Linked DNA regions of Elephas maximus indicus. The protein of the gene in region 4 interacts with the protein of the main gene of each other region in a biochemical or structural test. Links are inferred from orthologs where the notes say so. Each region holds a gene or a part of one and is shown on either strand. Other genes may lie near its edges.

The links.
Region 1: the proteins of ERBB3 (region 4) and FER form a complex in vitro, tested with the Homo sapiens proteins (2 studies listed by BioGRID and IntAct, with this or other methods). The link is inferred for Elephas maximus indicus from reciprocal best matches to the Homo sapiens genes ERBB3 and FER.
Region 2: the proteins of ERBB3 (region 4) and BCAR3 form a complex in vitro, tested with the Homo sapiens proteins (2 studies listed by BioGRID and IntAct, with this or other methods). The link is inferred for Elephas maximus indicus from reciprocal best matches to the Homo sapiens genes ERBB3 and BCAR3.
Region 3: the proteins of ERBB3 (region 4) and ABL1 form a complex in vitro, tested with the Homo sapiens proteins (2 studies listed by BioGRID and IntAct, with this or other methods). The link is inferred for Elephas maximus indicus from reciprocal best matches to the Homo sapiens genes ERBB3 and ABL1.

Annotation. Positions count from the first base shown.
Region 1 is NC_064820.1:117,901,512-117,909,014, forward strand, and holds the start of FER (tyrosine-protein kinase Fer), read left to right. Parts: upstream 1-4,557; 5' UTR 4,558-4,825; intron 4,826-4,926; coding exon of another isoform or gene 4,927-5,261; intron 5,262-6,026; exon of another isoform or gene 6,027-6,230; intron 6,231-7,503. Other genes in the region: translation initiation factor IF-2-like, read right to left, coding at 4,411-4,557, 4,927-5,261. UniProt on the Homo sapiens protein: Tyrosine-protein kinase that acts downstream of cell surface receptors for growth factors and plays a role in the regulation of the actin cytoskeleton, microtubule assembly, lamellipodia formation, cell adhesion, cell migration and chemotaxis.
Region 2 is NC_064821.1:148,353,865-148,360,993, forward strand, and holds the start of BCAR3 (breast cancer anti-estrogen resistance protein 3), read left to right. Parts: upstream 1-4,120; 5' UTR 4,121-4,259; intron 4,260-7,129. UniProt on the Homo sapiens protein: Acts as an adapter protein downstream of several growth factor receptors to promote cell proliferation, migration, and redistribution of actin fibers.
Region 3 is NC_064827.1:81,646,119-81,653,682, reverse strand, and holds the start of ABL1 (tyrosine-protein kinase ABL1), read right to left. Parts: upstream 3,016-7,564; 5' UTR 1,547-3,015; coding exon 1,411-1,546; intron 1-1,410. UniProt on the Homo sapiens protein: Non-receptor tyrosine-protein kinase that plays a role in many key processes linked to cell growth and survival such as cytoskeleton remodeling in response to extracellular stimuli, cell motility and adhesion, receptor endocytosis, autophagy, DNA damage response and apoptosis.
Region 4 is NC_064822.1:116,043,083-116,050,771, forward strand, and holds the start of ERBB3 (receptor tyrosine-protein kinase erbB-3), read left to right. Parts: upstream 1-4,674; 5' UTR 4,675-5,038; coding exon 5,039-5,120; intron 5,121-7,689. UniProt on the Homo sapiens protein: Tyrosine-protein kinase that plays an essential role as cell surface receptor for neuregulins.

The DNA.
Region 1 (7,503 bases), on a different chromosome or scaffold from region 4:
TATATAGATAAGCCTTCCATATTGTATATCTCATCATCATCTCCATTTTAGGATTGGTATGTGCAACTAGTTAGGTATGAGCTGTGGATCAGAGAGAGCAGAGTCACAAAGCAAGGAGGTTAGCAGAAAGAAGGAAAAGAGAAGGGGCCCAGATTCAGAAAAACAGGGAGGGATATTATGAGGACAGATGATACCCAACCAAAATTCATCTTGAAGCATGTAAGAAACTTTTAAATAGGAAAATAGGAGACATCGTAAGAGGGATGGGTGGTACTAACCAACAAAAGTTAAAAACTTTCAATCAGTTTTTATTACATCTACATTATTATATTCATTTGTCCAAGTAAATAAGGTTATTAGAAAAGATAAAAATTGGCATTTGGGAAAATAAGGACTTATTTGTTTATTGCAAGAAAAAAAAATTTTTTTTTTTTAGTTTTTTTTTTTTTATATACCTAGGTAGTACTGTGACATTTCAAAGCCACGGTACTACCTGGTATAGATCTAAATCTTAATGATAGAAGACAGATTGCTTAAATGCTATGCTAACAATTCCAACTGAGATTCATGTCCCTCCAGGCCCTGTGGAGATGCTTAGTATTTTATGAGGCCCATGGATCACCTAGACAGGAATTATTTTCTTTCATTCTTCCATATTCTCCCTATATTTACAGATATAAGGGGTTGCACAGTTTATCTGAAATTAGGAGAAACAAAGTGCTGTTAAATGTGGTGCAGTTCAGAGTGATACAACAGGGAAAAAATTAAAGTGAATTTGCTATGATTTTTTTTTTTCAGTTTCAAAAATGCACCATAGATTCTCCCCACATGCATTTCTTTCAAATGTATTCATTTAAAATTACATTTCCTAGTACAACACATTGTACAAAGTAGTTTCTTGAGTGAATTGGTAAGAACTGAGTAATAGCCGAAGAACTGGAAAGATGCTTATTCTCTTCAGAGATCTGAGTTCCTTAAAAAACACACAGGGTGTATATGGCTATGGATTGAGTTGTGTATCCCCAAAATATATGTTGTAAATCCTGTACCTGTGGTTATAATCTCATTTGGGAATGGGTTTTCTTTATGTTAATGAGGCAGTATTAGTGTAGGGTGTGTCTTCAGTCAATCTCTTTTGAGATATAAAAGAGCAGCGGATTCAGCAAGCAAGCAAGCACAAAAGGAGGGGAAGATGCATGCTGCATGACTGCCAAGGAATCTAGGAATAGAAACCGAAAAGAGACAAGGACCCTTCTCCAGATCCACAGAAAGAAAGCCTTCCCCTTGACCTAGCAACCTAAATTCGGACTTCTAGCCTCCTAAACTGTGAGAAAATAAACCTGTTGGTTAAAGCAACCCACTTCTGGTATTTCTGTTACAGCAGTACTAAGACATATTAAACAGCTCTATCTTCACTATTATATCTTTATTCCTATTCAAAGCTACTTTCTGCAAATATGTAATAATTCACCAACCACATCTTTCTAGATTCCCTTTGTGTAAGGATAAGGAAAAAGTCTAGGGTTCTTGGGAAAGGCAAGCCTTGATGAAGTTGTGGCATAGTGGTTAAGTGCTATGGCTGCCAATCAAAAGTTCGGCAGTTAGAATCCACCAGGTGCTCCTTGGAAACTCTATGGGACAGTTCTGCTCTGTCTTATAGGGTCACTATGAGTCGGAATTAACTTGATGGCAGCAGGTTTGGCTGGGAGAAGTCGAATTTTGGCTTTACCTATTTAATTCACAAATATTCATTCATTTCATTCATATTAACATACCATATACCACCACTCTTAATGTTCACAGGAAACAAATTTCTATTTTAAGGGGTTTAATACATATGGTATATAGACAGGGAACTGCCAGAAATTCAGGCCGGTTTCAGAAGAGGACATGGAACCAGGGATATCATTGCTGATGTCGGATGGATCCTGGCTGAAAGCAGAGAATACCAGAAGGATGTTTACCTGTATTTATTGACTATGCAAAGGCATTCGATTGTGTGGATCATAACAAACTGAGGATAATATTGCGAAGAATTGGAATTCCAGAACTCTTAATTGTGCTCATGAGGAACCTTTACATAGATCAAGAGGCAGTTGTTCGGACAAACAAGGGGATTCTGATTGGTTTAAAGTCAGGGAAGGTGTGCATCAGGGTTGTATTCTTTCACCATGCCTATTCAATCTGTATGCTGAGCAGATAATCTGAGAAGCTGGACCATATGAAGAAGAATGGGGCACCAGGATTGGAGGAAGACTCATTAACAAGCTGCGTTATGCAGATGACACAACCTTGCTTGCTGAAAGTGAAGAGGACTCGAAGGACTTACTAATGAAGATCACAGACCACAGCCTTCAGTATGGATTGCACCTCAACATAAAGAAAACAAAAATCCTCACAACTGGACCAATGAGCAACAACACGATAAACGGAGAAAAGACTGAAGTTGTCATGGATTTCATTTTACTTGGATCCACAATCAACAGCCATGGAAGCAGCAGTTAAGAAATCAAAAGACACATTGCATTGGGTAAATCTGCTGCAGAGGACCTGTTTAAAGTGTTGAAGAACAAAGATGTCACCTTGAAGACTAAGGTGCGCCTGACCCAAGCCATGGTATTTTCAATCACATCATATGCTTGTGAAAGCTGGACAATGAATAAGGAAGATCAAAGAAGAACTGACACCTTTGAATTGTGGTGTTGGCAAAGAATATTGAATATACCATGGACTGCCAAAAGAATGAACAAATCTGTCTTAGAAGAAGCACAAACACAATGCTCCTTAAGAGCAAGGATGGCGAGACTGAGCCTTACATACTTCGGACATTTTGTCAGGAGGGATCAGTCCCTGAAGGACATTATGCTTGGCAGCGTACAGGGTCAGTGGAAAAGAGGAAGACCCTCAATGAGGTGGATTGACACAGTGGCTGCAACAATGAGCTCAAGCATAACAACCATGGCAAGGATGGCTCAGGACCGGGCAGTGTTTCGTTCTGTTGTTCATAGGGTTGCTATGAATTGGAACAGACTCGACGGCACCCAAAAACAATACGTATGGCTTAGGTTGTGCAGTTAACAGCCACTACAAAATATAGGCCAAATACTAACTTTATTATAATTTCTGTTTCTATTGAAATTTATTAGTGGTTCAGGGATAAGATACCCCTAATGTGAGATCATTTTAGAGAACTATTTAAAAACCAAAAAGTAATCATTTTAAGTTCATAGTCTCAATATTTTGGGTTCTTTGATTTTAAAACAGTAGACAAGAAAAGTCCAACTTAAAATTTATGTACGTCTTTCTATGTCTAGGGCTGTTCAGATGGTAAAATAAATAACCCTATTTAGAAAAAATATTTACCACTCTTCTTTGGTTCCTAGTAACTCAAGTTTTTCAGCGGAAGTGTGGAGATGGGATTGACATTAGACTGCTGCAGGAAAAGAATGTGGTTCAACCCAACTCACAGGATACAACGCCTAAAAAAGCCTGCTACAATAGAGGAGAGTCACACCCCCAATAGTGACTACCACCTATCATACTTTTACAGATCACCCGGTTATCTTCGTTTAGTTCACATTACTCATTTCCCACCTAATTCTTTCAGTGAAGGCTACTTCAGAAATAACTCTCACTGGAAGAGAAAACCAGTTTGGGTCCTTCAGGCATTCTAGATTCTTGAAGAGGCCATTCACAGGACCTGCTGTAGGCTTTTTAACGGCATCCATCACAATTCCAGATTTGAAAAATCTAGTATTTTTTAGACACAGTCCTAGGCACTGGGAATACAGAAATGGTTCCTCTTAAAGGACTCAAGAATCCATTACCAAACTAAACCCGTTGCCCTCAAGTCGATTCGGACTCACAGCGACCCTATAGGACAAAGTAGAACTGCCCCATATGGTTTGGAAGGAGCGGCTGGTGGATTTTAACCGCCGACCTTTTGCTTAGCAGCCAAACGCCTAGCCGCTGCGCCACCACGGCCCCGAAGAATCTACTGGAGACGCGGGAAACCATCCTATAGCAATCAACGTTATAAAACCGAAGCAAGTAAAATACTGGAAAGTATAGGAAAAAGTGACTGATTCTGAGGATGAAAGTGCGTATCTGGACTAGCGGGTCTGCGGCCCCAAACAGCTTCCCTTCCCAGGTTCGCCCAACACCCTGCGGGCACACTTAACATTTTAATCAGGCCTCCGCCCCCACCGTCCGAATTCCTTTCCGGTCGCGGACCCGCCGGGTACTCCCTTCCAGGAGGCCCAGCTTATCACCCCCAGCCCGGCCACTTTCCGGCTGCGGCCAGGCGAGCCTCCCGAAGTTTCCTGTGACGCCGCCGTCAGTCTCCAGACTCATCCCACCCTCACTCCCACCCTGGCAGCTCAGGACACAGTCTAGAGAGAAGCAGGTTACCGAGGCAGACAGAACAGCTCGAGCAGGCGGACCTCGGGACCCCACCCGGACCCGGGAGCGGGCCCAGAAGGCGGCGGCCGCGACTCCACGCCTCCCCTCACCGCGCCCGCTGCCCCCGGCTTTGCGCGAGCCCACCCGGCCCGGCGCCTGAGTCCCGCCCCCTCCGCAGTTCAGGCCAATCGGCCGCGCCCCGCCTCCTGGGAGGTGGTGAGGAGGGGGTGTGAGGGCCGGGCGTCAGCGCCCGCCTTCCACCTGCATCCATTGGCTGCGGCCTCTAGGGTGCCCGGAGACCGGAGTGCAGTGGGATTGGCCGCAGAGGCTCGTGACAGCGGCGCTTATTGGCTGCGGCGGCCACCGTGACGCGGGGTGGCGACTGTCTCCCCTGTCTGAGGGGCTCCTGCTTGTCAGGTTCTAGGTAGGTGCATTTCGCGCCGCCAGCGGCAGGCGCTGTTGCGCGGGGTAATTCTTGGGGAGGGGGTAAGAGAAGGGAGGGCAAGCCAAGAGCCGGGGCAATACCTCCCGCCCGCAGGGGGGCGACTAGGAATCGGCCCCGGCGGCGGCGACGGCGCGGAGGACTCTTCTCTGCCCTCAGCCACCCCCACTCCCGCCTCAGCCTGCGGGGTCGCCCGCCCATCCTCCCGCCAGCGGCGGAACATTCCTGGTTGGGATTTGGGCCGGGCTGCACACCCGGCCCCTCGAGGCCCGCCCCTCCCACCAACCCGGGACCCGGAGGCTGAGGGGGCGGGTGCCGGCGCTAACGGGTGGTGGCGGGTGGGGTGGCCCCTCCCCGCGGCGGGATTGGGGTGCTGCGGCATGTGGGGTAGTGTTGGAGCGCTGTGGGCACCGCCCATCACGCCTGTACCACCTTTACTGTGCGCGCTCCTCTCCCCGGCACCGCCCTCCATTTGGGGCGGACACCCTCGACTGCGAGGTGTTCTGTTAATCCCTTCCCAGCTCTGGGGCCTTGCAGTCTCCGTGACCCCTCTTTAGTATTCAGCCATGCTCCTCCCATGTGCCAAGTTCATCTCCCACTTTTATTCCCTCCTCCCTCCTGTCTTGGCCATTGGTGTTCCCCGTGGTTCCAGATAAGAGACTCATATGTGTGAAGCTAGTACAGTGGGGGTCTCGGGTGAAGGGGCAATTTCTGCTCCGTTCTCTCTGCCATTCGGGACTGGGGAGGTGTTTCGAGGCTTTGAGTCAATTTCTGGCTTCAAGTCTCCCTTAGGATCAACTCTCTGAAACATGCTAATTGGGCTGGTGTTGGTAGGGTCAGGGTACTTCATTCACAAAGGGATTTACTGTTAGGTGGTTGCTTTTTTACTTTGTACATTTGTCAATTTCGTATTTAGTGCTCAGCAATACAAAATTAATAATTCGTTAAGGCTGGTAACTTCATTTTCGTGTTTTATACCTTAATGGTTAAAGTGAAGTTTTAATCTTTTTTATTAAGAATCTGCGTATAGCGATTTTACGTTTTGACATAAACTGCGCTAAAGATGAAGTACTATTTTCCCTTCCTCCAAATAGTTTAAGATAGTTTCTCTAATGGAGTCACCATATATAAAAGTGTAGCTGTAAAATCAATAAGAGGATAGATTTTAGTGATTAAAGACTAGAAATACTTTTTAAGCAATGGAACGAAACAGGATTAAACAAAAATGTATTGCAAAATACAGTTGCTTCACTAGTGCCTTGTAGTCCTGGTAAGCCTATGTGGACTTTACCAAAAACCAAACCCAGTGCTGTCGAGTCGATTCCGACTCAGAGGAACATGGATTTGTGAGAGCTACACGTTTCAGTGGGAAGAATGCAAAGAAAGGGTAAGTGTATCTTTTGTAATCTAGGAAGTCATTTCTTCCAGCACTGTGAGCCAAAGGAAATATGTTTCCAAATGTACTGGGAGTATATTAAAGACAGTACACAGGCACACTTTGAACCTTTTCTTTGTTTCTTATGTGAAGACTTTTGGTGAAGATCTTTTTTTCTTCTGCTCTGATGCTTACGGCAGTCAATATACAGGTTTCCCCTGCTGAAAGAAAAGCGTTCCCTCTGAAACCTTTCATAAGCCAAAATGGCGTAAAGCAAAGAAGCAGTTACCATTAATTTATATGGGAAAAAGCTTTGAGCATTCCAAGGCTCAAAAAATAACCTACCAAATCATCCCAAGTAGCACAGAAGACTTAACACTAACGTATAGTAAAAGCAAGGATGATATGATAAATACACAGCCACGGCAATGGGTTTTATTGGGTATATAAATTGGAAATTACGTACAGTGGAGTTTCTCTTGCCAGAATCGGGAAGACAGCGAGCACGCCGGAAGGCTGAGACGAAGTGGTGGTGATGATGGTAACCCCGGCAGCTTAGGTGGCAATGGCTGGATTGAAGGGCCGGGGTTCAAATCCTACAGAACAGTGGGATTTATATTAACTGTGCTTACGGAGGCTTGAATCCTACAGTTAAGGAAATGTACAAGGAACAAGTCCTGGGTGAGATTTCGAGGTGCATGGTGCGTTTATAAGTCACCAGGCATTTGACTGAACATGGCTGGGTCTTAAGTAAAGGTGGAGGAGTTTGAAGGACGAGGTTGGTCAAGCCGTTACTGCGAAAGGAGCTTTGAGGGTGCCACTCTCCCTGCTGCTTGGGGTGCGCACTGCCTTTTTAATAGCTCACAAACGCTGGACGCTATTTCTGCTTTTCGCCTTTTTTTTAAAACGAAAATCCTCTTGGGATTTCTTTTGATTACTGAAGACAGGTACTGTAATGTAGGTCTCTTGTAAAAGCAAAGTGGCGTAAAGGTAATGTTCGAAAAGCGGGGGACACCTGTACACCATCTAAAATTATTTAGCGTACAGTTTTTTTTTTTTACAGTTAGTGCAGCTCTGCACCATTTCGAAGTTGATGATGTCTGTAATGTAGAAGAAATGATTTAGGCTTTTGTTAGGTAAAACACTTGCATCTTCAACTGTTAGTAGCTAAATATAACTCTGGTCTGTGAACATTTCAAATTTGCCTGTTTTTTTCCCCAGTATTTTACTGTTAAAAATTTCAAAAATGCAGAAGAGTTGAATTGTACAATGAATATCCACCACT
Region 2 (7,129 bases), on a different chromosome or scaffold from region 4:
ATTTTTTTAAGCAGCTACCTATAAAGGGATAGAGGAAACAGGAAAGGGACAGGGTTAAAAACAAGGCTTCTTTGAATGTACCTTGTTTTGTAGGAATGATTTTGAAGTCATGAGAATCATGAGACTGAATTAAATCTAATTTGAAAAAAGACAATTCCCTAAAATCAAAACCACACAAAGCAAAACGAAACATTTCTAAATGTAACTCAAGTTGGTGATCAACCACTCAAAGAAGCATGATTTCAAGAGACTTTATAACACCAAGCCCTGTGCCATGGAGTCAATCCCGACTGATATAGATGCTATAGGACAGAGTAGAACAGGCCCCCATGGTTTCCAAGGCTGTAATTTAAACCAAAAAATCAAACCAAACCCAGTGCCGTTGAGCCAATTCCGACGCTATAGGACAGAGTAGAACTACCCCATAGAGTTTCCACGAGCACCTGACAGATTCGAACTGCAGACCCTTTGGTTAGCAGCTGTAGCACTTAACCACTACTCCACTAGGGTAATTTAAACAACAAAAAATTTTTATTGTGCTTTAAGTGAAAGTTTACAAATGGAGTCAGTCTCTCATACAAAAATTTATATGCACCTTGCTATATACTCCTAATTGCTCTCCCCTTAATGAGACAGCACTTTCCTTCCCTCCACTATTTTCGTGTCCATGCAGCCAGCTTCTGACCCCCTCTGCCTTCTCCTCTACCCTTCAGACAGAAGATGCCAACATAGTCTCATGTATCTACTTGATCCAAGAATCTCACTCTTCACCAGTATCATTTTCTATCCCGCAGTCCAGTCCAAATCCCTGTCTGAAGAGTTGGCTTTGGGAATGGTTCCTGTCTTGGGCTAACAGAAGGTCTGGGGACTTGTCCTCTGGGGTCTTTCTAGTCTCAGTCAGACCATTAAGTCTGGTCTTTTTATGAGAATTTGTGGTCTGCATCCCACTACTCTTCTTTTCCCTCAGGGGTTCTCTGTTATGTTCCCTGTCAGGGCAGTCATCGGTTGTACCCGGGCACCATGTAGTTCTGGTCTCAGGCTGATGTAGTCTCTGGTTTATGTGGTCCTTTTTGTCCCTTGGGCTCTTAATTACCTTGTGTCTTTGAAGTTCTTCATTCTCCTTTGCTCCAGGCGGGTTGAGACCCACTGATGCATCTTAGATGGCCGCTTGCTAGCGTTTAAGACCCCAGAAGACCGATGCTGTAATCTTTATGGAAGCAGATTGTCACATCTTTCTCCTGTGGTTTCAAACCACCAGTGTTTTGGTTAGCAGCCAAGTTCTTAATCACTGTGTCACCAGGGCTCCTTCTTTATGATACAGTACACTATAAAGAAGTACATCCTAGTGGGAGATACCCTATTGCAAAAAGAACTCCAAAAAAATTACTAAACTTTCCAGTTATTGTATTGTTAGTAATAACATTGGTATTTTTATTCTGAAGCTATTAGATACATATTGTAGAATAAAGCAAATAAGTTGATAGAAAGCAAGACTTTCAGTATAACAGAAAAGATACACAACTGTAAATTTTTTTTAAATAAGAAAAAGCTCTAAAATTTAAATTTGAATCAAAAATATTCGTATGAACTCATGATACAGTTTCTCATTAAAAAAAATCCTACTTCCTGGCTCTGTCCACTAAAGAAAGTCTACAATGACCAATCGAGTGGCAATGTGTGCCTCTGGTGACAGCTTGTGGTCTCTAACTACCATATCCCACTAAATGGAACCAGGGCTCCTCCTGGAGGAGGAAATACACATGAAGAGCCTGGGACATCATGACGAAGCAGATGGGAAAGAGATTGTCAGGCACTCCTGGGTCATGTCAAAAGGACTCAGTAGTCAGCTTGTCAAGGCTCCCACTGGCCACAAATCAGACACTTGGAGCATAAATAAGAATAACTGAAAAGAACTGGAACACATGAATCCCACTGAAAATTCGTATGTTCGTAATGGTGGTCAGAAAAGGATAAAGAACCCCACGGTCACCTTTGGGTGACACTGGGGGACCAACTCGTTATACTGAAAACAGACAAGTAAACAGGAAGAACCTCAGGGTTAACAAATGGGAGGGGAGGGGAAGTTTCTTTTTATAAGAGTATTCTAGCCAATAATGAGGAAGAAATAGCGCCATTTTGAAAACCCTTAAAGAAATAATGGGTCTAGTCAATGATCCCCAGGCCGCTAGCATCACAAACAGGAAGACACAGGATATTATATATTTTCTGATGAAAGTACAAGACACCACCTATCAAATTATTGTCAAAGAATTTCACCCAAATCAGACTAAGTCTAGATCTAACTACCAGTTTACGAGAAACAGTAGGGACAGAAGAGCATTTTAAAAAATATCACAGGCATATAATCAGGAAAATCCAGAATGTGGGGAATTCTATAGGACAAATGATTTGGTTTCTTCAATGAAAAATTTGTAAGGAAAAAAACAGAAGGAGAGAAACCTATAAATTAAAATAGGCATACCAACCAAATGCAATGTATAAATCTTGTTTGGAAGTTTGAATATTTACTAGATACTTAATGGTATAAAAGAATTGTTGACAATTCATTTAAAAAAAAAAATGTTAATGGTATTGTGGTCATGTTTAAAAAAGAAAGAGTTCTTATCTTTTAGGAATATGTACTCAGATGAAATGATGGAATGTTTGAGGTTGGCTTTAATCTGGGAGAGGAAAGGGGGCTGGATTAGATATGAACAGGATGGGCCATGAGTTGTGGATTACTAAAGGTTGGTGATAGATACATGGGGGCTCATCATCCTATTCTGTCCGTATACTGAAATTTTCTAGCGTATGAACTTAAAAAAATAAAAATGCAGTGTGTTAAGTCAGAGGTGCCCTGGTGGCACAATGGTTAAGTGCTCAGCTGCTAACCAAAAGATTGGCAGTTTGAGCCCACCCAGATGCTCCACAGGAGAAAGACTTGGCGATCTGCTTCCATAAAGATTACTAACTATAGCCTTGGAAACCCTATGGAGCAGTACTACTCTGTCCTATAGGGCCTTTATGGGTCGGAATCGACTCGACGGCACACAATGGCAACAACACATTAAGTCAATGGCTCTCAACATAAGGCAGGGTCTGAATCTACCTGTGAAGGACACCTCCCTCTCCTGATCCTACTGAGATCTTCTGTCCTAAATACTTCTCTAGAAAACTGAGTTGGTTTTTCCAAAATTGTTCACTGCAGCTTGCTTGCTGATGGGGAAAATTTGTTGTAAGCTCCTGGCTAGGTGACAAGCATATTTTTCACTAGGCAAAAAAAAAAAAGGCAAGAGAGGAGGAATTTTTTAAAACTCTTTTTATTATAAAAGTATTATGTACATCCCACTAAAACATACACACAGTAAAAAATTAAAAATACAGAAAAAGTCAAATCACTCCTCCTACCTAGTTCTACTCCCCAAAGGCCCCACTGCTCCAAGTTTCTGTAATTCTCTCCAGACCTTTTCCTAAACATATACAAAATTAAAAATAGCCCTGGTAGCACAGTGGTTAACCGCTCGGCTGCCAACCAAAAGTTAGGCGGTTCAAACCCACCAGCCACTCTGCAGGAGAAAGATGTGGCAATCTTCTTCCATAAAGATGCACAACCTCGGGAACCCTACGAGAGTGTTCTGCTCTGTCCTGTGGGGTCACTATGAGAGTTGGAATCCATTCGACAGCACACAACGTACAAAAATAAACAGGATTTGAACCTTACTGTAAATACTGCTTGCAACTAGCTTTTTTTCCACTCAGCAGTATAGCTTCGAGATCTTTCCATAGTAGCAAATACAGGGTCTTTCTCTTTCATATTCCATTGTATGGAAATACTATAATTTAGTTCAGATCAGTCTCTAGTTGGCAGGCATTTTCTCCAGTTATTTCCTCTTGCAGACAGTGTTGCAACGCACCTTCTTGTACACACATAGGAAAGGAATTTTTTGAAAATCCACATCTCCTAAGAAAACCCCTCCCTCATTCTTCTAGAGAAAGTGCTCCGTGGCATGAAGCAATCACACGGCAAACCTCTTGGACCTGACCTATGACTCACCAGCCACCCAATGCTGGACAGCTGGAGGCTGAGCCATCAGGAGCTTGCCTGGCTCCTGGAGGCAAGCAGAGACAGGAGTGCCCGCAGCTCTGAGGCGCTGGGCTTAGGGTGGTTGATGGATCCCTGAATCCCCTCATGCACGAAGCCTGAGCCTGGGAAAGTTCAAACATCAGCACCAAGAGACTCACTTGCCCACTGTGATTAGGTAAGTCCTCTGGCTTTAAAGGATTATAGGGCTAAAGGATGTTTAAACTGAGTGTGATTCACCTGGATACAGCAATGGTTCCATTGGCGGTATGTTTAAAGTGAAGAGACTGTAAAATGCTAATGTTGATCAATGCCTTTGAGGGCCACAGGGTCTCAGTGCCCACCAACTCCTCTGGTTACCCATGCTGATTGAGTAGCCAGAAAAAAAAAAAAAAAAAAACCAGAGTAAGTTTTTATTTCAGGATATTCTTTTTTGAAGTGTGGTTTGTGTTTTATCCTCTGGAAGTCTTCTATGTCAGCAAGACTTTTATTTCCTGCTGTGTAGGGCTTTATGTGGGGTGTCTCTTGCCAGATTTCAGAATTTCCTGGCAAGGAAGAGAGGCAATTTGAGTTACCCGGACGCAGAAAAACACATTTCATTTCAAGAGAGCTTTTCAGGTGTCACTGAAGATGTGCAAGAAACTGGATTAAAAGCTATAAAAAATGCTCTTTAGAGTAGAGAAACTATTAGAGTACGGCTCCTGGACACCCTTATATCTCAATATTGAAGTCACTCCTGAGGTTCACTCTTTGGTCAAAGATGAGACAGGCCCATAAAACAAAATGAGACTAAATGGCCACACCTGCCCAAGGGCAAGGATGAGAAGGCAGGAGGGGACAGGAAAGATGGTAATGGGGAGCCCAAGATCGAAAAAGGAGAGCGTTGACATGTGTGGGGTTGGTAACCAATGTCACAAAACAATATGTGCATTAATTGCTTGCTGAGAAGCTAGTTTGCTCTGTAAACCATTTAAAGTACAATAAAAAGATTTTTTTTTAATGTTCTTTAAAAAGTATTCTCCAGTTGACGCTTTGGTGAAGCTCTTGGCACGCGATCTCCTGAATGGGAAACTCTGGGCAGTTGCTTTGCCAAAGAGACATTTGTTAGACCATAGGGACAGGGTTTGGAAGATGGTCAACTATCTCAGTCCAGACTGTGTGGGGCTTCCTTTCCAACTTGGACAATAAGTAGCAGGGCTCAGAGCAAAATGCACAAGATTTGGTTTGTTTCTCCTAAAAAAAAGTGCTTATGGTGCTTGTAGTTTGAAAAGTAGATGAAGGTTTTACATAGCTTCCCTCTGAAGAGCATATTTTGGAGTTGCTCTTTATTTTTCTTAATTTCTTTTGTACAATTTGGCCAGTCAACATTTATCAGAAGGCAAAAAAAAAAAACAGTTGCTATCAAGTTGCTTCTGGCTCATAGTGACCCCATATGTTTCAAAGCCATAGGCTTTTCAATGGCTGTGATCTTTTCAAAGCAGATCTCCACATCTTTCTTCCTAGTTGCCTCTGAGTGGATTCAAACTGATTACCTTTCAGTTGGTAGCTGAGCATTTAACCTTTTGTGCCACCATCAGAAGACAAGCTTATGCTTATTTTGAAGGGACCAATGTTCTTGCTGTTCTGACAACCTGATGCTTCAAGATGGCATCTGATTTAAGAATAATGGATAGTAAGAAAGCATTGCATTAGTGGAACTTGAGGTAGGGGACTAAGTGAGGAAGGAGGTAACAGGCTGTGGGGAAAGTGTTGTATCTTGCGGTGACTTTGGAGATCAAATGAGTTCAACCTGGCCAACCAACTGGAAGAGATCCATGTTTATGCCTATTCCCAAGAAAGGTTGTCCAACTGAGTGCAGAAATTATCGAACAATATCATTACTATCACATGCAAGCAAAATTTTGCTGAAGATCATTCAAAAGTGGCTGTAGCAATATATTGACAGGGAACTGCCAGAAACTCAGACTGGATTCAGAAGAGGACGTGGAACCAGGGATATCGTTGCTGATGTCAGATGTATCTTGGCTGAAAGCAGAGAATACTAGAAAGATGTTTACCTGTGTTTTATTGACTGTTCAAAGGAATTCAACTGTGTGGATCATAACAAATTGTGGATAACATTGGGAAGTACGGAAATTCCAGAATAGTTAATTGTGCCCATGAGGAATCTTTACACAGATCAAGAGGCAGTTGTTCAGGCAGAACAAGGGAATACTGAGTGGTTTAAAGTCAGGAAAGGTATGCGTCAGGGTTGTATCCTTTCACCATACCTATTTAATCTGTATGCTGAGCAAATACTCCAAGAAGCTGGACTAGATAAAGAAGAACAGGGCATCAAGATTAGAGGAAGACTCATTAACGACCTGCGTTATGCAGATGATACAGACTTGCTTGCTGAAAGTGAAGAGGACTTTAAGCACTTACCGATGAAGATCAAAGACCACAGCCTTCAGTATGGATTACACCTCAACATAAAGAAAACAAAAATCCTCACAACTGATCCAGTAAGCAACATCATGATAAATGGTGAAAAGACTGAAGTTGCTAAGGTTTTCATTTTACTTGAATCCACAATCAATGCCCATGGAAGCAGTAGTCAAGAAATCAAATGATGTATTGCATTAGGCAAATCTGCTGCAAAAGGCCTCTTTAAAGTGTTAAGAAGCAAAGAAGTCACTCTGAGGACTAAGATGCCACTGACCCAAGCCATATATTTTCAATTGCCTCATGTGCATGTTAAAGCTGGACAATGAATAATGAAGATCAAAGAAGAATTGACGCCTTTGAATTGTGGTGTTGGTGAAGAATATTGAATATACCATGGACTGCCAGAAGGACGAACAAATCTGTCTTGGAAGAAATACAATCAGCATGCTCCTTAGAAGCAAGGATGGTGAGACTGCGTCTTACATACTTTGGCCATGTTGTCAGGAGGGATGAGTCCCTGGAGAAGGACATCATGCTTGGTAAAGTATAGGGTCAGCGGAAAAGAGGAAGACCCTCAACGAGATGTATTAACACAGTGGCTGCAACAGTGAGCTCAAGCAT
Region 3 (7,564 bases), on a different chromosome or scaffold from region 4:
ATACATCCTAGTATTGTATTAATACAAAAAGAGTTTAACGTCTTGATTGCCTGAAAGGGCATCAGGGACATCTAGGCACTATGCCATTCTATACTTGGTTAGTTTCCTAGAAGTGAGATTACTGGGTCACTGGTATGTGCATTTTAAATTCTGATAAATTCTGCCAAAGCTCTCCAAAATGTCTGTACCAATTTCTACTACTTAAGATTGCATGACCATGATTAATTAAAAAGTAAAGAATTCCATTTTTAAATCCTGACTTTAAGAAGCACCATAAGGTAATGGATTACCCTATTTGCATATCTAAAACCAATGTTAAAATATAACTAATGTTTCAAGGCAAAGTAAAATCCAACTACCCAGATTTAGTTAGATGAGGTGAATACCCGTCTGTAAAAAATTTAGTTAGATGAGGTGAATACCTGTCAACTACAAGTTCACTGAGCAGAGGCCTTTGTTTACTTGCATCATCCATTGTTAAGAAGTATTTGTGACAGAATTTCAAAGTACGTGTCACCTGCACATATCTTATATTTGCTTACAGGACTGGTGGGCTCAATGGATATTTAACATAAAACGCACAATACAAAAACAGCAGGCTGCAACAGCACTGGCCTCTGTTACAGACGTCAGTTTAAACCAACCCTTAGCTTTAATTTCACACAGAATTACTGGAAGCGAATGGTATAATTTGTACTGTCGGCATTATGTTCACAAAAACGTGAAATACAAACTATTTTGCCCAAAAAGTCATTCCCAACAGAGAGGGAGGAGGATGAACGCTCATTCAATGGGGAAAGGTTTATTCCTTCCGCTAAGGCAAAATAACTAGACGCTGTGTATTCTCAGTTCACAAGGAATGCTGCTTCCCCACTTGATTTTTCCCACATAGCTCCAAAGTGAGCTACTTACGACTGAAAAGGTCAAGGATATTAGTGTCAACTAGGTTTTACAATTCTTAAGCTTTTGGGGAGCACAAGCCACTTTGAAATATGATAAAAAGCTCTCTGTAGATAAAAGCACAGACAGCCCAGACATGTGTATGCACCTCAGGTGAAGAGCCCATGCCCTAGATTAGAGCAGAATCATAAAACTATGGTTCCTAAGAAACCACCGAAGTCCAACCCTCAGGAAAACTGAGGCCCTGGAACCACATGGTAGGGCTTGTCCAAGGTCAACAGTGAATTGAAATCACAATCAGGAAAGGCATAAGCAATTCAAAGAGATTTTGAATAAAACCATAGCTTTTTCTTACACAAAGAAAGTTCAACCAGAAACTAAGACTACAGTAACAGAAGCTTTAAGCAGTACTGGAATGAACTAGCACGAACACTATCCAAAAGTTCCTTGATGACCTAAGCTGCAGACATAAGGAAAAACACAACTTCAGGAACCTTAAAAAGCACTCACCATGTTCCACAAAAACATTGCAGTGTGGACCCCCATGCCTCGATGATTCCTTCTTCCCTGCTCCTTTGATAAAGTGCAGGGCAGGCAAACTTGGCCTTCGTTGGTCCCCAAGAACTTTTCCAGGCTGCTGCCCCATAAAGTAATGCTAGGCACCCAGAAAAGGGTTCAAGGTCTTCCAGAACAGTCAGTAAGCTTAAAAAGAAAATGGTATATATGTGGGATTTCACATTCACCGCATCTCCACAAGTCAGTAATTGAGGTCAATCACAAAAAGACACCTTCCAAAACAAGAGTGAAGCACAGTTCTTAGGTTGACTCTTGTAAACAGGAGTTCCAATAATTTTTGCGGTTAATCAATTTGAAGTAATGGAATTGTAATGTTACCCAAAAGTTTGACTTTAAGTGTCCTTTACTGACTGAATATCAACGTCTTTCTTTTCAAGAGGAAAAACTTAAAAATATTCACAGGGAATGTTGTAAAGGGTCAACAATACTAAAGTCATTTGAACTCCCACATGTAAAGGAAACGTTGATCTTCTTTAGATGCTCCTCCAGAACTTTTCCTGTGCAAGTCACCCACCCCCTATCTTAGTTTCTTCATCGTCCAACAAATTTCCTGCCGAACTGGCTGCTGCTCCCGCTTCTCTACCCTTCTGTCCGGAAAAGGACACGGATCACCCAGATTTCAGCGAGAGCTTGCCCTTCACTCTGTCGAGAAGGAATGCATTGCCAGCAACTTTTAAGTTCGCTTTTTAAAAGGCCTGTGAAACCAGTCCAGACTTTTCCTTTGCATTAAAGTTTTTGGCTGGGCTGAGACCGAGGGGGCCGTAGGTGACATTGGAAGTCAGGGCATTAGAGGCTTGCAGGAGCAACCTGGGGGGAAGGAGAGGTCACTTGACAGCAGAGAGGGAATCTGAATCTGGGGGGAACTCCACGGCCAAACCTGGAACCGGGAATGGGAGCAAGAGGCGGCTTGGGAGTAAGGAAGCTGCCGGGTCGGGGCACCGGCGGTTTACTCCGGGGCGATGCTCCTCCACCTCTCAGTAAACGGGGTGTTTCAGGTCTGGGGGGGAGCAGAGGCCACCCCCAGTACCCGAGAAGCCCGGACGGGCTGTATGGGACTAAGTACCCTCGCGGCCCCGAAGTCGGAAGCCGGTGTAGGGGCTAAGGAGGCCCGGCCGCCTCAGCTGCCCCGAGCCTAGGGGGCTCAGCCCGAGACACCCCCTCCCTCGGCCCCGGACGTTGCCACGGCTGCCGCCGCCACCAGGCAGTCACATCCCCCGAGTTCGGCCGCGGAACCCAGCCTCCCCCCGCCGGGAGGGGCTGTAGACAACGGAGGGGCTCCTCAGCTGCAGGACCCGGGAACCGGCTCCGGCTCCAGCGCTGCTCAGGGAAAGACATCGACCCCCGCGGCCGCCATGATGGATTACGAGCAGCTTCACAACGAGGCCAGGCTCCACCCCTGTCCCCGCCCCCTAGGGCTTCCGGAGCGCGCCTCTCAAAGACCGGGATGCCCCTGGACCAGCTTTCGAGGGACGCCGCCGCACTTTCCGGCTCTGGTCTCGCTGCCTGCGAGAATCTGGACCAACACAACCTCTTAGAAGTGGTTTATTCTGAGGGGCAAGGTGAGTAGTAAGGAAGCACCCGCCTCCTTTGTACTGCCATTGGTTCCCGAGAATCGGGGTCAGGCCTCTCTCCTCCATCCCATTGGCCAGAGGTGCAATGGTGCTAGAGCTCCCAACCAACCACTTTCGATGTATTCCGCAGGGCAGGCCGGGAGTTGTGGTTCTGCGAAGCCCGCTCTTGTTGGCCGGCACCCGGTACTTCTTGCCCTTTGCTCTCAACTCCTGAGCTTCGGTCCCGCCTTCCTGGGAGACCGTGGACTAGATGGCCTCGCGTAGGGCTGGCCAATGTCTCCCCTTCGCAAGTAATAAAACCGGCGAAGAGCCAAAGTAAGGGGAAAACTGCGGATTGGATTATCCCCCGAACCGGAGTTGGATTACTTCCTTAAGCTTCTTTAGGGGAAAAAATTTGGCTTGCTCCTGGAAACGAAGACTATTTGGTGCCTTTTTCACCTTTCCACCCAAATTTCCACCTTTTCCCCAAGAAGCATAAATATTAGAGCTAGTGAAAAATATAGCTGGAAAGCATCCGACGTATTGCTAACGAATGCAATTGTTTGCTTTCTCCGGGTATCACGAGGCTCACTCATTTAACAAACTGCAGTTGTTAAGCACCTCTCCAAGGCTTTGCCAGGCGCGTTCAAAGATGTTCGAGCTAGAATGAACCTTTAAGAGTGAACAACCTCGTTTCACAGATGAACTCGTATACCCATAAAAATATCCATGTTAGCTGAGGTAAAGCCCAGATCGTTGAGTTTCGCAGGGCTGCGGGGCTAATTAGTGACCCAGACACACCAAACACACCTGTCATAACCCATCTTCCGCAACTGAAAAGCACCCTGGCTCCCTATCCCTGTCTCCTCAAAGCATTGCATGTGGTCGGGATGTACTCATTTCTAAGGAGATCTACTTATCACAGCGCCTACTCTACGCCCAGCACTGTTACTAAGCACTTTTCATCAACTGCATTTTCACTTAATCCTCATTACAGTGCAATAATGCGTGGAATATTACTCCCCATTTTTTCACTATCAAATAACTGTTGATGCAATACTAAACAATAGATTTTTCAGAAGTTGCTGATTAGGGGGAAGCCACAGCCCCATTATAAGTGTTGTACATTCCCCTGCTATATGTAGGTGACACATTAGCCCAACAAATGAGTTATGTATTCTAGAAATATTTTTGCTGGAACGTAAAATGGTGCTGTGATTGCATAGGTATTACCTTCAGGGGGAAAGGAGTCACTTGGAGGTGAAGCTATGAAAACATGTGCCTAGATTTCTAACTAATGTACAAATTCAGATGTTAATTGGCTTAGCTTTGCTGTCGCAGAATATCTGACTGACGTCTAGTGTAGCAACTTTTGAGTCATTCTTCAAATTTTAACACCCTTGGTCCCCTTTATTTTCCCATAATCCTGATTATTCCCCTCCCCCCTCCCCCATTTTTGTTTTTGGAAAATTTGTTTTGATTCCTATTCATGCTTTACTCGTTTCCTCCACATCTTCATGTATCTTCATTCTCTAATTTAGCTTAAATTTGGGCAATCAAATCAGATCCAATACATGTTCCTTGAACAGTTTATTTACCATTCATTGAACAAGCATTTCTTGAGCACACATGATGTGCCAAGCACTGTTCTAGGAGCTGGAATACAGCAGTGGGGGAAAAAACATACTTGTCCTCATGAAGCATACATGGGAGAAAACCAGACCCAGTGGCATCGATTCCGACTCATAGCGAAGGGACAGCAAGTACACAAAGTAAGTAACAAACCCAAGTATCAGTCTCAACCCACACTCTAAAGAAGGGCTTTATAATACCTCTCTAAACCTTAAATATGTATCTTATTCACAATTGCTAATGGGCTTAAATCACTTTAATTCTCTCCATCTATTTCTTCGCCTATGAGTGGGGGTCCTATTTGCTTACTTTATGAGGTTATCATGAGGATCATCTTAGATACTGTTTGATTTTCCACAGTAAAAGACTGAGACCATGCTTCATGATAGGCAATGTAAAGATCAACTGCACTTCACCTAAAGGCTTATTACCGCTAATGTCCATTTTCCACTGCTTGTTAGTTTTAGGTGAACCCCAAGCCCAGGCTGTAATATTTTTCTCTAGAGAGGCACTATATTTTTTTACTTCCTGTATAGCACTACAGAATGATACTTTTGAGGACTGAAAGTTGGATCCAGAGCCCAGCAAATATCTGTCAAAAGCAAATAAATGTTACCAAATGTTGACTAAATCCCTTTAAGCTCAAAGCCTTTTCATAAACAATGATTTAGTTGAGTCTAATTTTGTTCTCGCTTTTATAAAGCAAAGCAAACCCACTAGGTTGCTAAAGAAATTCAGCACCAGTGTAAAATTTTCAGCTTTTTTAAACTTACTGAAATTATACTTAACAAGGGTGCCCTCTAGTGGGCCACAAAAAATAATCACCAAAAGGTGCTTTCAAACCTTCTATTAATTTCCACTTAATAGGCAATCACGATTCAACACTGAATGAGCAGCATAGGCCTGGCACCTTGGGAAAGACCAAGTGATAAGGATAAACTTTCAGTGAGCTTTCGCTATGGCCCTAGTCAAAACCAAAACTGGCACTCAGACACCAACCCTCCTGTTCCCTTCTAACAAAAGGCTTAAGGCCTGGAAATTTTTCTCAAAAATACAACAAATGAGAAAATCTAAAGTTAAAGCATAGCCTATAGAATCTTGATGAGTCTGCAAACTCATGAAAACCAGTGATACAAGGTGGGGTAGAAAAAAAGTGACATAAGAAGTTGCCCATTGAGTAATAAGAGGAAAAAAATACCATTTAATGAGATAGGGCGAATCTGTACTTCACATTTTTCAAGCGCAGTGCAGTGTTCAAAAGTTACTGCCATTGAAACTAACATAAGGCCAAATATTATTAGGTAACCCAAGTATAGTCAGGAGCTGTCAGAAGGAACTTATATTCACTAAATCCTCCTGTTATTACAATTATTACACAGAACACAAATCAATGGTGTTAACACCACCTTTGTAATATAAAAAAGTAGTTTACCACATATTTGAAATAAACAGCCCTTTAAAACAGCGCCTTTAAAAAATGTTTCCCAACAACCTAAATCAGGGCACCATTTTTAGGCAGTCGTCAGAAAAAACAATCCCTCGGTGAGAACATCAACACCTTGTTTTTATCTTTTAACCTCAAATTAATTCAAAAGTAAATGCATTACTTCAATGACAGGAGGAAAACAGCTTTTCTTTTTCTATCTGTTTTTCTTACTTTGTTTTCTTCATGTTTGTCACAACACCCAAAGGTACATGGATCCAGAACATTCATTCTCTCTGCTGTCGATAATAATTCAGCTTCTTACGACTCACCCCTCAAGGCAGGACAGAGGTTAAGGGGCGGATATATTTTCAGCCATCACTAGAAAAAACATTCAATGGGAAATAAGAGTCAAACCAAGCGAACAACGGCTTGGTTAACTTTATTATTCCATTTGACTGCTAGATTAACTGGAATGTTGTACTTGCACTTTAGAGCTGGAAATAGAGACAAAGACACTTTGGGGGTCAGAGATGCCATGTGTTTTATAGGGGCAATTTCATGGGGTATTGTGCACTTTGAATGATGGTGAGTGGAAGACAAAGGATCCTCCACATTATTCCAGGATGGAAGTCCATTTCGCTGGAACTCTGCACGCTTTCAAAGACCTGAAACTACCCCCTAGTGCTGGGACTCAGCCTACCAGAAGGGCCAGAGGCACTGTTCACCTCTCCACCCAGTCCTCTCTTAGAAGGAGGAAGCAGGTATGTAGGCTGGTGGCAGCCCACAGCTGTTGATGCACATCAAGTGATGAGTTTCTCAGCTCTTTACTGGGCTGCACATGGGGACCATCAATTTGATTCTTCACTTTCTAGAACGGCTTCAGCCAGGTACAGACAGTCCTGTCCTGCAGGTGCCTCTCCTTATCCTTCCTGTTCTAACAGCCTCTGGCGCGTTTCCATCACAATTTCTTCCATTATCTCTGGCTTTAAGATGTCTTTGATCTGAAAAAAGGAAAAAGGCATTTGACAGAAAAGAAACCAACCATAAGCAGATCACCAAGCCAATCCAAACTTAGAAACCAAACACAGTTAATATAAACCTTCTGTATGCCTTTCCCTTACAGAGGCTAAGTGTTTCAAGATATGATCTGCTAGAATTAGCTTAATACATCAGCAAGATTCTATGGGATATAGCTGACAAGAACAACTATTCTGACATTCATTAAATTTGGGATGGGCAAGATGAAGTCCAAAGGGTTGCTGTCATAAACTAATCCCATCTGGAACGTCCATCTCCCTAAATCTTCAGGTTGATACTTTTCTTGTTGTGTGCCATTGAGTTGATTTTGACTCATAGCAACTCTATAGGACAGAGTAGAACTGCTGTAATCTTCATGAGAGCAGATTACCAGGTCTTTTCTCTAGCAGAGGGGTTGGTGGCTTTGAACCATCAACCTTTCAGTTAGCAGCCAAGGGCTTAA
Region 4 (7,689 bases):
GGCCAACCAACTGGAAGAGATCCATATTTATGCCTATTCCCGGGGAAGGTGATCCAACCAAATGCGGAACTTATCGAACAATATCATTAATATCACACACAAGTAAAATTTTGCTGAAGATCATTCAAGAGCAGCTGCAGCAGTATAACAGGGAACTGCCAGAAATTCAAGCTAGATTCAGAAGAGGATGTGGAACAAATGTTATCATTGCTGATGTCAAATGGATCCTGGCTAAAAACAGAGAATATCAAAAAGATGTTTATCTGTGTTTTATTGATTATGCAAAGGCATTGGACTGTGTGGATCATAACAAATTATGAATAACATTGCAAAGAATGGAAATTCCAGAACACTTAATTGTGCTCACGAGTAACCTGTACATAGATCAAGAGGCAGTTTTTCAGACAGAACAAGGGGATACTGATTGGTTTAAAGTCAGGAAAGGTGTACGCCAGGGTTGTATTCTTTCACCATACCTATTCAATCTGTATGCTGAACAAATAATCGGAGAAGCTGGACTATATGAAGAAGAACAGGGCATCAGGATTGGAGGAAGACTCATTTACAACCTACGTTATGTAGATGATTCAGTTTTGCTTGCTGAAAGTAAAGAGGACTTGAAGCACTTATTGATGAAGATCAAAGATCATAGCCTTCAGTATGGATTACACCTTAAATAAAGAAAACAAAAATCCTCACAACTGGACCAATAAGCAACATCATGATAAACGGAAGAAAGACTGAAGTTGTCAAGAATTTCATTTTACTTGTATCCACAATCAACACCCATGAAGCGACAGTCAAGAAATCAAAAGGTGCATTGCATTGGGCAAACCTGCTGCAAAAGACCTCTTTAAAGCATTGAAAAGCAAAGATATCACCTTGAGGACTAAAGTGCACCTGATCCAAGCCATGTTGCTTTCAATCGCCTCATATGCATGTGAAAGCTGGACAATGAATAAGGAAGACTGAAGAAGAATTGAGGCCTTTGAATTGTGGTGTTGGTGAAGAATATTGACTATACCATGGACTTCCAAAAGAAGGAACAAATCTGTCTTGGAAGAAGTACAACCAGAATGCTCCTTAGAAGCAACAATGGCGAGTCTGCGTCTTACATACTTTGGACATGTTGTCAGGAGGGATCAGTCTCAGAGAAGGACATCATGCTTGGCGAGTACAGGGTCAGCGGAAAAGGGGGAGAACCTCAGCGAGGTGGATTGACACAGTGGCTGCAACAATGAGCTCAAGCATAACAACGAGTGTGAGGATGGCTCAGGACCGGGCAGTGTTTAGTTCTGTTGTGCATAGGGTCGCTCGCTATGAGTCAGAACCGACTCGACAGCACGTTAACAACAACAGCACCCTGTCAAGGAGCCCTGGTGGCGAAGTGGTTAAGCACTCAGCTGCTAACCAAAAGGTCAGTGATTCGAACCCACAGGTGTCTCCATGGGAAAAAAGACCTGGCCATCTGCTCTGGTAGATTTCAGCCTAGGAAACCCTATAGGGCAGTTCTACTCCATCATATAGGGTTGCTATCAGTCAAAATCCACTCAATGGCACACAACAACAGCGCCCTGATAGGGGGCCTTTCCAGGGAACTATGCATTGCATGGTGGGATCCGAAGGTTTCTAGAAGTCAGCTGGAGAAAGAAACCCATCAGTCATACATCTAAAAGTCTATCCAGGAATTGACTGGCTAAGGAGATCATGGCCTGATATGGGGGGAAGACCTCATCACTTCCTGAACTGATTTGCTGACTACAGCATTTCAGACTAGGTGGCCCCCTCTACAGACTGACTTCAGCGGACCCTCCTTCAGGGAGTCTCACCAGAGACCCAATCGTAAGTCATTACTCAAGCCCAGTGATCCCAGGCTCAGCAGTTCGGTGTGAGCGAGTGAGTAGGTGGGCCTAGTTTATGTGTTATATGAGGAGCCTATTTTTATTCCAGTGGGTCAGTGCTACTCAGCTCCCCACTGTGAAAAGTATGTAAATCACTCACCATTTCTACCCTCCCCATTCAGATTGCATCCTTACCTCAATAAGAATTCCCATTTTTGCTCCATCTAGACCTCTCTTCCAACTCTCCTCCCGTTTTATCACCCTTGGGTCTTTACATGGTGGAGGAACATGTGCACTTGAGCTTCACTGGAAAAGTAAAAGACATGGTCAATTCTGACAAGCCTCCTACACTGAGGCAATAATATTGCCTGACAGTCCATATGCAATTAGCTGGGTTTATTGTTGTTATTTTTAAATCTAGGATCAATCAGGGATCATTCATTGCATTTGGTTCTGTGTTTTTGATCTTCTTTGACGTGAAATGATTCTCTTGACTTTTTTTTTTTATGACATTGGCACGTTTAAAGAGTCCAGCCCAATTGTTCAGTAGAATGTAGGACAAGGAACTCTGTTTGGCCTTTTGTTTCTGGTTTTCAAAAATAGCCTGAGCAATTAAGGTACTCTTTGTCTTTCTAAAACAGCCCAGCCACATTTAAACAAGTGTAAAGTAGGGGACTACCCAGGCCCCAACCTGGCAAGAGACCTGAGGAAGAGAGGGGCGTGACGCACTCATTGACTGAACTGATAAAAATGATGCACTGAGGCCTCAATAATGCATATTCCAATTTGATACATGCACATTCATTGAGGTCCCAGTGACTAAAAAAAAAAAAAAAAAAGTGACTAGGGGACTCTAAACCTTGGAACTCTCTTTGGGGATTCCAGAATTGGTGAGAACATCCACGCAGGGGAGAGGGTGCTGCATGTCCTTGGGGACAATGGAAGCCTCATGCTGGGACCTCTCTCAGACCCTGCCTAATGTGTCTCTATGTTTGCATTCCTTCAGGTTATGATAAAGTATATGTAAGTACAAGTCATAGTCTCTGTGGATTTTGTGAGCCTTTATAGAGAATTACAGAACCCACAGGGGCCATGAGCCAGCAGGGGCTGCAGTACAGAGCTGATTTGTGTAGGCCGGGCTCTGAGCGGCTGAGTCCGACAGACCATGAAGAAGCATAGAGTCCTTCCAGCGTGTCTGACCTAATCCCAGGACACTAGGGTAAGAGAGAGAGAGAGAGAGAAAGAGCGAGAAAGACCAGTCTGAAGTGTGTTAAAACAAAAATCATATTATTAAGCCAACAATAGGAACTGATTGAAATTTACTGAATATATGATTTGCAAATTAGGGTAACATTTCAACTAAGAGTGTCCGAAATATTCCAAAAATGAGAAGAATTTCCAGCCAGGGCCCTGAAACCTAGGTTGAGGTGGTGAGCGATAGAAGGTCCTCTAATCTGGGGGAGAGTAAGTAGGGATGGAAATTCCTAAGTGATGTTAGCTCAGTTATCTGATGGGAGTTTGAATCTCAGTATTGCATAAGAAATCCTAGTCAAAAACCTGAGTCCCTCGTCCTGATTCTTCTAGATAAATCACGAGTTTCTAGAACTTCCGTTTTCCATTCTGTGAAAAAAGGGAACAAATGTCACCTAGTTTGTATAGTTTTTCTGTTAAGTGAAACATTCATTAAGGTACTGAGTTTGAGGAAATGTTTTACAAATTAAGTGGTATATGTTTGTATATGTCAAAGGCTTGTGCTGTCGCAATTACAGTACCACCGTCACGTGAGTGGTCTGGGCGAGGCCAGCGCCCTAGAAGTGGACAGAGAAAGTCTGAGAAGTTTTAGCCCGTTGTCTTGGCCTGGGGTGAGGGGCGACATTTTTCTTCATCAAGATACAATTGTTCTTGATTATTCAAGCCTGAAGCTTTGGGGAAAATAAAATCGACTCTCCGTTTAAGACCCGGAATGCCAATCTCTGGGACTGAAATCTACGCCGTGTGGGGCTGGTGGGCACCAGGGGGCGCCAGTTGGGTGCGTCGAGGGGCCTGGCCCAGCCTTGGGCAGCCACCCTCGGTGCACCCGACCGCCTCTGGTCTGGATCCGGGAGTTGGTGCGAGAGGTGCCAGGGATCCATGCCATTCACGGACGCAGTCTCTATTGCCCCTTCCTTCTTTCCAGTGCGAGCCCGGGCTTGGGAGGCGCCGGAGGGTGTGAGCGCCTGTGGCGAGGTGTGCCCATATGGGTCCCCAGCCGACCGGCGAGAGCTACGGCCGCCCCGTCGGCGAGGTCACAGACTCCAGTGTGGAAGGGGCGCCAGCTGTTCTCCCAGGCGGCCGTGGGGGGCAGCAGAGGGGACGGCGACAGGTGCGGGAGCCCCTCCCAGGGTGGAACTGGAAAGCGGGCTCTGGGGTCTGTTCCCAGGCTGGAAACCACCCCCGCCCCCCAACCAAATCCCCGGGAGAGGCCGAGCCGGCGCCGGGTCTGGAGAAGGAAGCGGCCGGAGACAGTGCAATTTCACGCGGCCTCTGGGCTCGGGTTCCTGGGCAGGGGGGATGAGTTGTGGGGTTTTGAGCCGGGGGAAACTGAGGTGGCCTAAGCGTGAAGCAAACAACACCCTCCCCCTCAAAAACACACAGAGAGAAATATTCACTCCAGAGAGAAAATCCTCAAGTGATCCAACCGGCTAGGGGAGATGAGTGATTTGGTTAGTGGGCGAGGCCAGCTTTCAGGGGGCCGGGCTTTGGCGCTCTCTCCCCGCCCCCATTACCTTTCCGGGGATTTGGGGGGCTTCTGGAATCTTGACCTCCGCCTTCGTAGCCCAGCTCCGGAAGGAAAGTTAGAGTGAGACCCCTTCTTCGTCTGCTTGGCGAAGAAGAGGGAGTCCCGGAGTTGCCGAGGTGTGGGGCGCGCTCGGGGCGGGCAATCAGTCGGAGACTCCAGCAAACTCCTCCAGCCCGGCTCGAAAGGGGGCGCGGCCGTGACTCACCCCCTCCCCTGCGCGCCCTCCCTCCCTCCTCTCACAGACACACACCCCTCCTCTGCCACCCGCCAGGACTCCGGCTCCGGCTCGGGTGGTAATTTGCTGCCGCCGCCGCCACTATCACTTCGCTGGCGGGTCAGGTGGCTCCTGCCTCGATGTCCTAGTCCAGGGGCCCCCGGGCCGGACTTGGCTGGGCTCCCCTCACCCTCCGCTGGAGTCATGAGGGCGAACGGGGCTCTGCAGGTGCTGGGCTTCCTTCTCAGCCTGGCCCGGGGCTCCGAGGTGGGCAGCTCGCAGGCAGGTAAGCGGCGGGGAAGCACTGGCCAACTCGGAACCGGGATCCGAACCGTGCGCGGAGCCACTGAGGGTGTGAGGCGCCGAGTCTCGCACAGTGCGAGGCTGAGGCTTCTGACCCCGACTCCGCGGGTATCACCTGGGAGGGGACGGTCAGGTTTGGTGGCTTGGGTTCTCGGCGTGGTCCGGTCAGGGACCGGCTTCCTGGGCCCCCTTCTCCCTAGCGCGCCAACGACCCTCTAATTCGTTCCCCTGATGGTACTGACGGCGAAACAGTAGTTCACACTTCTGAGGGACCCTCAGGGAGAGGAGCCGGAACCTCCATTCCGTAAGAGTAAGGAGATGATTGGAGGTAGAGATCTTCGGGGGGGAGGGGGAGTCTCTACCCCCCAGTTTCAGCAACCTCCAGTTTCGTTGTTTTGCCGACAGGGCGGAGCTACGGGAGGATTGGGGGTGGGGAGGGGAGGTGATGGTGGTTGTTGTTCTCTGGTGTTGGAAAACAGGAGCTGCACCTCCTCTTCCGTGAGTGGCCTGCCCCGGGGAGGTCTGAGATTAACCAGAGGGCCAAGTCCAGGTGACAGCAGGGTGAGAGGCCCAGCCCACCCTGGCTGCCCGCTTTCCCTCCAAATAATAAAGCTGGCTGGTCCCCTACGAGGCCAACTTCTTTTTGGCAAGACCCAGTTCAATTCAACTAGTATTTATCGAGCATCTACCATATACTAGACCCTAGGCCAGGAACTTTGTAGGGACAAGGGCTTCCAGCCTCTATTTCTCCGTTTGTCTTTTCTCTCCCCAACTTGAGGCCAAGAATGCCCTACTTCCACCTTCTGAGGCTTCTGCCCTGGAGAGCCCTTCCCAGGCCCAGCTCCTCACCCAGTTTCGTTTATTTGACTCCAGGAGAAAAGAGTCCCAGACTGCTCATCTCTATTCCTTCCCCCCAGTGCCACCTAATCTCTTTTTGGGGGTGTCTCTGGGACCGCAGACACCTGAGGGGTGCCAGAACTGGAGGAGTCCTGTTGATCTCCTCTCCTGTTCCCAGATACCAGCTTGCAGTGTGTGGCACAGCCAGGGCCCCTTCCCCAGGGTGGGAGTGGGAAAACACCTGTGCTTCCCCCACAGTTGCTGGGCCTAAATTTAGACCCTGGGATCTTGAGATATGAACACTCCCAGCTGGTGGGGGGGGGGGGTCTGGGGATTGGAGTGGGAGGGAGGAGCGAAGTGACTATCACTGGTCCATCCAGACCCCTGGAATTTTCAAGCAGTAACCCAGGAGTCCCAGATTCTGGCCCCTTCCCTGGGGGAGGCAGGAGGCAAGCATGGTTGGGTCTCTTTACCCTTTATCTGGGTTCTGCAGCCTCTGGGCATCCGGCCCTGTCTCAGTTCTATAGCCCCTTTGTCCCAGCTATGATGGCTGTGATGGGGGTGGGGGATGTTAGAGGGGAGGCCCTTGGTTGAGGAGGGGCTTGAGGTTCTTGTTCTGCCCCACACCCAGTTCACTCTACCAAAGGAGAGCTTGTGACACTGACCCTTCCTATCACCCTGGCCCTGTGGGACAGTTAGGGATTTTTGTAAAATTCCTCTCTCCCTGTCCCCCTCCTCAAGCTGTCTGGCTTCTCCCCAGAGATGTTGTTCGTCCCTCTCCCTGCCCAGGCCCTTTGCTCCCTGTTTGTGTAATATGGACTTTACCCTCAGGGTGGCAGGGAACTGGAGATGGAACTCTAACAACTAGCCTTCCAAGCATAGACACAGAGTCTGCACACACACATATGCGCACTTGGCGGTGGATGGGACACCTGAAATACTTCCCAATAAGAAAACCCAAGGGCAGAACTCATATAGATTGAAGGGGAGCTATAAACATGTTTGTATGTGTGGGCCTACATGTGCGTGCGTGCACACATACACACACCACTTCCGTATGCAGAGATCTTGGCTCCTCCCTTATCTGGGGACAAGGATTGGCGCCTTGACTTGGAAGAGGGGGTGTCTTGCCAGGAAGGGGGTTGGGGTGGGGCTGAAATGACTAACCTTCCTAGTCTCTTTTCAGCCCAAGGACCCTGAAGTACCCAGGCTCCTTTGGGAGTTCCTGGCCTGTTTACCCTTCTTCTGAGCCTACATCTACCCCCCCCCCCCACTGCTCCCCTAACCTCTCCCCCCCCCCAGGAGTGATAGATAAGGGGAGCCCCTCCAAGGTCAGTAGGTCAGAATTGGGTAGATCTAAGAGGAGGGGCTGGGGCTTCACCATTTTCCCTCCATTCCCACTCCTGCCTCCCACTAAGCTGACACTGCCTCAGGGAAGGGTGGTTGGAACAGGTGGTATCTACATACGAGCACATGCGCTCAAACACACACACAACAGAGTCTTGCACCGAGCCAGGTGAAAGAGACAGGAGCAAGGTTTCAAGGTCCACCATTTCCTGGAGCCCCTATATCCTTCATACTTACAAGTTAAAGGGAACCCCGAGACTGACATGCCTCCCGTACCTCTATTCTAGACTCTCCCCTAGTGTGGGTGAGGATTGCCATGTTGAGAAGGCCTTTTCATGAACCCCTTTGTCAGTGAAATTGGGTGGGTA